Linked DNA regions of Stegostoma tigrinum. The protein of the gene in region 1 purifies or fractionates together with the protein of each later gene. This does not show direct contact. Links are inferred from orthologs where the notes say so. Each region holds a gene or a part of one and is shown in the gene's direction. Other genes may lie near its edges. The genes, in order: slc38a9 and lamtor3.

Evidence for each region.
Region 2: the proteins of slc38a9 (region 1) and lamtor3 purify together in Homo sapiens (affinity purification with mass spectrometry; 3 studies listed by BioGRID and IntAct, with this or other methods). This does not show direct contact. The link is inferred for Stegostoma tigrinum from reciprocal best matches to the Homo sapiens genes SLC38A9 and LAMTOR3.

What each region holds. Positions count from the first base shown.
Region 1 is NC_081354.1:125,217,049-125,220,972, forward strand, and holds the start of slc38a9 (neutral amino acid transporter 9), read left to right. Parts: upstream 1-1,606; 5' UTR 1,607-1,731; exon of another isoform or gene 1,732-1,741; intron 1,742-2,278; exon of another isoform or gene 2,279-2,500; intron 2,501-3,924.
Region 2 is NC_081354.1:4,153,286-4,157,209, forward strand, and holds the start of lamtor3 (ragulator complex protein LAMTOR3), read left to right. Parts: upstream 1-1,535; 5' UTR 1,536-1,570; coding exon 1,571-1,579; intron 1,580-2,302; coding exon 2,303-2,337; intron 2,338-3,924. UniProt on the Homo sapiens protein: As part of the Ragulator complex it is involved in amino acid sensing and activation of mTORC1, a signaling complex promoting cell growth in response to growth factors, energy levels, and amino acids.

The sequences.
Region 1 (3,924 bases):
TGAAAATAAACCACTGTTCCTCTTGTCGCTGCTGAAATTATATATGGGCACCAAGTTGTAGCTGGCCCAGCTGCAATGCCCACAGTCCCATGAAAAGAAACTGCTTATCTATAATTAATGCATGCCTTTATAAGTTAACTAAACCTCCCAAAATTGATTTCAATGATTTATTCACCAGCTCGCCTGCATGTATTCAACCTGTCCCTTGCTTCCCTTTTGTTTTAAGAAAAACTGCACTGAAAAATCCTTCAATGTTACAGCAGCACACCTGCAACCAGCAAACACTGGAAACTAATGCTCAGACCTGGTGTTTTTCCCACAACTGACGATTTCTTCTAACAGCATGAAGAGCATTTAGTTTGCTCTCGATGATTTATCCACTTTCACATGTGCTAATTTCATTAATAAATCCTCTTTTCCCCATGTTGATCACATCCATCATTTCACACCTTAACTAAATTATCATCATCCCTTCTTTTCAAGATGGATGGAAAGCATTCGTTAAGATTCACCTTTCTGGCCTTTCATCAGCCCTACTCTTATCTCAATTATCCTCTCACAATGTACTAAGTGGACAGATTTGGATTTACAGAGATAATAGGAACTGCAGATGCTGGAGAATCCAAGATAACAAGGTGTGGAGCTGGATGAACACAGCAGGCCAAGCAGCATCTTCAGAGCAAGAAAGCTGACGTTTCAGGCCTAGTCCCTTCATCAGAAAACGATTTGGGTTTACCACTATTTTGATTTTCTTAACTGAAATTCTTGCATCTCGAAAACACCCGAGTCCTTTCCTATCACAGCAGTGCATTCAGATATCTGTATCCACAGTTCACCAGTTTCATTAACCACACTCTTTATGTTCACATATGGGCACTAAATGTGAAAATTCCATGTCACTATCTGTTCGGATTCTTCTTGCCTCACTTGCTCTATATGGTTCCTTTTTAGTCCTCTTGCGGTTTGTAAGGACTTTCTTCAACAGCCCCACAAGGACTCTTAGCTCCCAGGCCTGTTCAGATGCAACCTACCAAACCCGAAAAGGTCACATCATCTCCAAAGTAGGTTCCAATATCACAAGAATTTAAAGGCCTCCTTCTGCAGCATTTTCTCACCATATCCCACGTATCCTACCCATTTCTACTCCCCGATTACCACGATGGTGATGCCCACAAGAAACCTGGTTTGGTTTTAGGTGCCAAGTAGATCCACATCCCCACCCTTCACCCACTAAGAGCAAAAGAAAAGAGGAGCACTTCATTATTTCACACGTTGGTCATTCGCGGGGTGCCAAACAGAGCAGGCTTTAGGGAAGGCCTCTATAAACTCTACCACGCCGCTGGCCCACCACGAGGATCTGCGCCGGCCATGAACTGACACGTCGCTCCCGTCCACGAGTGGAATGGGGCCGGCCCTTCGTGAGCCTGATGGGTGTGACGGTCAGGCCAGGTGGGCTATCAGGTTCCCCAGGCGGTTGGGCATGTTCCACCTGAAAGTGAACCACGCTCACTTACTGGACCCTCGCCTCCGTTTGGCGCGGTTGGCACACTCACGTGGGGCCAACCACCCCCTAAACGACAGCCTACAATGTCACGTGATCACAGGTGCAGCGGCCTGAAGCACAGCTACGTGGCCATTGTGACGCAGGACGTAATGGAACCCGGGCCCGCGGTAGCGGCCACGAGACCCTCACCAAACGGAACCGCATCTTGCGGGAGATCACTAGAAGCGGTACGCAGAAAAAAACTTCCTACTTCCTCTTTCTATTACTTTTTCTTAAACCCCCAAAAAAACTTACGGGGGAAATTTGACAGGGCAAAACAAAACGATGGATGCGCCAACTATTCTGACGTAATTAAAAAGTAATGTTCGTTTCGTAATACTTAATTCGATGTTAATAATGCTCCACAACTTCATGCAAAGTGGTTTAAAATAGTTGTACTTACTTTAATATGTGAGTCCTAGAGAGTGTGTGTGTATGTGCGCTTGTAAGTCAAAGCACTAACGCAATAAAGTATGAAAGCAAAAATGCCCAAAACATGAAGTTTAAACTATCTAATTATCTTATGCCTTATGCAAATATTTCAGGCGAGACAAAACAACGTAGATAACAATCCCAAACGGCAACGTCAGATCAGTCATCAAAATACTAGCATAAGTGAAAAACTCTCCAAGATAGGCAGGATCAAGTATTTCGCTGAAAAGAACAAATAAACGATCATGCTTCCAGCAAAATCCCAATATTGTACGCATCAAAACAATCTGGTCTACAACTTACCTTCCCGTACAGCACAGTTTGAAATCACTCACAAATTTCCCCCTCTATAAACTGCCAATAAATACGAGCACCGCTTGGATGTTCTCACCTTTAAGTACAGGCTGAAAACAAACCGCACATTTCCGGTGGGTCCTAAACACTCCAGGCTTGTGAGGGAAAGCATGCGTTCCTGATCTAAATATTTACTTAAGAGGAACAGTCCCTTTTGAATAGAGTAATCGTCCTTTCTTGACATTATGCAAACACCATCGTTAACACTAGGTGGCACAGCAATAGTATTACAACATCGTATCAATAGTATTACAACATCGAACCATTACACTCAAAATTACAACATTTTTTGACAAAATATTGCATAAAATATGGAAAAGATGGAAATTAAAAAAACGAGCATTTCCACTGTCAGCACACCAACTTGAGCATGTTTTTGCTATATATTTATACAACATATACAAAATAATTGTTGAACGAAGATTTTATATTGGATTACAGTGGATTAGTGGTTAGCACTACCACCTCACAGCGCCAGAGAATTGCCTTCCATTCCATTCTGGGGTGACTGTAGAGTTTGTACGTTCAGTGTAAATCTATGGGTCCTTCATTATGCCCTTACACATTGGAAGGGTAAACTTCTGTAATGGTTTCATCCCAATGTCAATAACTCTTAGATGCTTGGGCTTGCAAATGGTCCAGCGCAAATTATTGTGCATGAATCACACACCATCAACCCCATACCATGTCCAGTAGCACTGCTGCCCTTTCTGATAAAATGGTTAAAGAATTACTAGAAAAAATCGTAACATAGATATTTGCAGATTTTACACCTTAATTGTATTTTCTATAGTTTTGTTTAACTTCAATACAAAGGCCTTCAGAAATTGCTCACACAGTAGCTTTTTACACATGTTTCAATATCTTATTTTGAGTCTGTCCTACTTGTGCCCAAACATGTGGAAACAGTTCTGCAGCATCTCTCTTTTGTATACCACATTCTCAAAAACTGTCAGTTGATAAATGAGAACTAAGATAGTGGTGAACTTTCAAGTATACTTACTCCGATCCATAACATTTGATTGCCTCCTTTTATGTCTTCCATTCCTCTAAATTTCTTCAATCCTCCTGGTTTGACAACTGTCATTTGACTATTTCCTTGGATAATCCTGCCGTTTCCCTAATTCCAACACTATTGTGATCCCTAGGGCGGCATGGTGGCTCAGTGGTTAGCCGGGTCTCAGGTTCGATTCCAGCCTCAGGCGACTGTCTGTGTGGAGTTTGCACATTCTCCCTGTGTCTGCGTGGGTTTCCTCCGGGTGCTCCGGTTTCCTCCCACAGTCCAAAGATGTGCAGGCTAGGTGGATCAGCCATGCTAAGTTGCCCGTAGTGTTCAGGGGTGTGTGGGTTACAGGGGGATGGGTCTGGGTGGGATGCCTCAAGGGGCAGTGTGGACTTGTTGGGCCGAAGGGCCTGTTTCCACACTGTAGGGAATCTAACCTAATCTACCCCAGATCGTCCTTACGATCTTCCTCATTAAGTATTACTCTAAATTCTCCCTGTCTAACATACCACTGTACCCCCCACCCTGTGCCCCTTCTCTGAATATTCCGCTTCCACTCTATTATACCCTTGTCTCTATGATGTATATTATG
Region 2 (3,924 bases), about 120 Mb from region 1:
GGGAATTTCTTCAAGTAGAAAAGGTTAAAAGTTGATTTGACTGCAATTCCGATTCCACTCAAGTCTTGAGCTTGTGATTGACAGACAGTCCCAATGCAGTGCGAACGGAGTGCTGCACTGTCGGAGGTATATCTTTTGAATGAGACAAAGTCAAAATACAGTCTTTACCCTCAGGTCAGGCAACTCTTGAGGAATAAGAATTTAGAAATTAGTTTCAGATCAGGGGATTTCTATTCTGATGGAGAAAGAGAAAGAGGTTCTTTTACAAAATGTGTTTGGGTTTTATCATTTTAAGAATTCAATGGCTTGGTAACATATTTCTCAAAAGCAGTTTATGTTATCGTTTTCTTATCAGTGGTGGCATAGATTATAACAGTGGGGGGTGTTCAAGTTGGAGCTGTTCAGAATTTTTGATAGGCCATAGCTGCAGTTCTGGTCACCTCGTAGGATGTATTTATGCTAGAACAGGTACAAAGGAGATGCACCAGCATGTTGCCTGGAAGGGAGCACTTCAGCTGTGAAGAGAGGCGAAATGAACTCTGGTTGTTTCCTTTGGAGCAGAGAAAGTTGCGGGGGGGGGAATGCTGGGGGAAACATTATAGAGGTGTATAAGATTATAAGGAGCATGGACAGAGTGGGTAGAAAGCAGCTGTTCCCCTCATTTGAAGGGTTAATAACTGGGTGGGGAGATGCATAAATTTAACATGTAAGGCTCGATGTTCAGAGGGGATTTGAGGAAAAGCTTTTTCACCCAAAGGGTGTCTAGAATGCACTGCCTGAGAGGATAGTTAAGGTGGGAAGCCTCAACCTTTTTAAAAAGAAATTAGATGGGAGTTTGAAGTGTCAAACACTTTAAGGTTATGGATCTTGTGCAGGAAAGTGTAGGTAGTATATTTCTAGCAGGACAGACATGATGGGCCAAATGGCCTCTTCTGTACTGTATGATTGTTCTTCAATATCCAGGGACATTGCATGCTCGGCAAATTCTTTGTTGCCCTAGGAGTTGGTCACTTTCATACAGTTGCACATTGTAGATTTTAGAAAACTATTTGGAGTAATTGTATCAGAGAGAATGCGAACTGCAGATGCTGGAGAATCTGAGATAACAAAGTGTGGAGCTGGATGAGCACAGCGGGCCAAGCAGCATCTCAGGAGCACTTTTGAAACTGTCATTCTGTTAGCTGAATAACTTTAGGACTGAAAAGTGTATTAGTGCAAAATGAAGTGAAAGCTCCCCTAGTTGTATGTGTCTTTAGTAAAATGCGTTCAGGAAGCAGGGATTTGAATGGTGAATATGGTGGCTGAAGCATGTGGGAAATTCAGCAGCAACATCAAACCATTGGATGCAGAATATATTCTGTTGTTCAGAACTAAATATTCCGATTTTTCTGATATTAAAAATTTTACATTCCTTCACTCCACATGCTCTGTTATAGCATGTTTAATTAGCATATTAAATTGAGCATGCCTTTGCTTATTTTAGTAAGTATCAAAAGATAAAGCCCCGTTTAACACAGGTTTTATGGTTTTGTTTCAGAATTGAGTTTTCTCTGCAACATTTTAAAGAAAGATGGCAGATGTAAGTAATCCTTTCTTAATTACGAAAAAATTGCGTATACTGTTAGGCTACCTATATTGTAGTAAGTTTGAACAGCATATGGAAAATGCCTTCTAATAATTAAGCTGACTAGTACAGTAAATATGATACTACAGTAAGTCATGCAGCCAGTTTCGTAGACAAGGTTCTGTTTGCATCTAAAAATGTAGTGAATAGCATCTGTGGATCCCATGAGCAAGACGTTCTCTTGTTTTATTTCCTAATTATTCAAAAATTAAAATATTAGGCTGTCATCTTCTGTTGGTCTATTTAAGCTTGCTTTGAGCAGAGTTTTCTACAGTGTGCATGCGACTATTGGGCCTGATACCCATAATGCGAGGTTGAAATTTATTTATTGAACATGTGAAAGTTTAATGTGGGTGTGAGTCTTTCCTCTTAGCCTCCTTTCAGCACAGCCTTTGAAAGAGGAAGGTATTATTTTGTGTATATAGGATCTTGCTGTTGAATACTTCATGCGTGAAGGTGAGTGTTAAATAACTGTAACCAGTTGAGACTGGCTTGAATTAAATTTGGATGCAGTTGACATTTTTAAACAATTAATTAAAAATAACTTCATGGCAGTTCTAACTGCCAACTGTTACTGGCGCAGTTAAAGGTTTGAACTTCAATTCATATTCAAGTTGAAAATGTGCAGTATAATTCTACATTTTTACTGCATTCTTCTAATGTGTGTCTTTTCTACAGGATTTGAAGAGATATCTTTACAAACAGTTGCCTAGGTGAGAATGTAAAATAACCCTTCCTCCTCTTCAATCTGTTTCAATTTCTGACTCTCTTCTTTAGATAAGTTTAGACTAGTAACTTTATGTCCAAAATACACAGTAATTCCTCTACTATTACACTGTATATTTCTTAATCGCAGATTTTTCACTCTTCCTTTTATCTTCTAATCTCCTCTTTCCTACAAGTCTGTAATATTATTTCTGGTTGAATAGCAAATATCTTTTCAATATCAATAAATAGCAAAAGAACTGCAGATGCTGTAACTCTGAAACAAAAACAGAAGTTGCTGGAAAACCTCAGCAGGCCTGGCAGCATCTGTGGAGAGAAATCAGAGTTAACGCATTGGGCCCAGTGACCCTTCGTCAGAACTGATAGTAGCTAGGAAAGTGTCGGTTTATGTGCAGAACAGCGTATGTGGAAAGGAGCATTTGATAGTTGGGGATAGAGCTCAAAGACACTAGAACAGTTGAACAGACAAAGGAGTTGATAACAGTCAGGCTGGGAGGGTGAATAGCTGTTAATGGGGACTGTTCGTGACTAACAACAGGTAGTGTGTAATGGCAGGCTATGGGGCTAGGACCTGGGAGAGCTTCTTTTTCTTAGATTAGATTCCCTACAGTGTGGAAACAGGCCCTTCGGCCCAACAAGTCTACACTGCCCTTTGGAGCATCCCACCCAAACTCATCCCCCTATAACCCCCACACCCCTGAACACTACGGGCAATTTAGCATGGCCAATCCACCTAATCTGCACGTCTTTGGACTGTGGGAGGAAACTGGAGCACCCAGAGGAAACCCACGCAGACACGGGGAGAACGTGCAAACTCCGCACAGACAGTTATCTGAGGCTGGAATCGAACCTGGGTCCCTGGCGCTGTGAGGCTGCAGTGCTAACCACTGAGCCACCATGCCACCCAGTTCAGACCTTAAAATTGTTGAATTTGATATAGAGTCCATAGGGTGGTGTTCTTCCAGTTTGTGTTGAGCTTTGCTGGAACACCGCAGTAAGCCTGCGACAGTATTGATAGTTGCTTCCAAACATATGTCTGTTAAGTGGCATTTGGCAATTTCCTCACTATCTCCCACTTCAAGTTGTAATATGCTAGACGTTGTTTCATCTGCAAGTGCCGATGGGTTACTATTGTTGGAAAGCCAGCTTGGAGATGTCTCTAAACCAATGATCAAGTGTGGTGAATGTGCCGTGTAGATATCAATGTTAAACAAACACAATGGGGCATTGTGTGGCAGTTGCTGAGTTTGCCTTCAAACTCAGGCCACGATTAGTTCTCTGGCTCTGTCCTATTTTATTTATGGTAATCTTGCTTTATAAGCTCAGTTGAAAGACTAGTCTGTCACCATCTTGACCTTAATTCTTGGTTTTGCAGCTAATGTATATCAATCAAGAATCTTAGAGGGTTGGTCTCATAACAGAAGCTGCACTTTGCAATCTAAAAGGGTAGCAGTACGGTTACGAGGTAGATAAGACATGTCTATTTGATGCAAGTTAGCCCAGGTTATTTTCTGTGGCAACAGTCAATGCGTCTTTGAAGATTTGAGCTGGTCAGTTGACATTCTAAAGCAGTG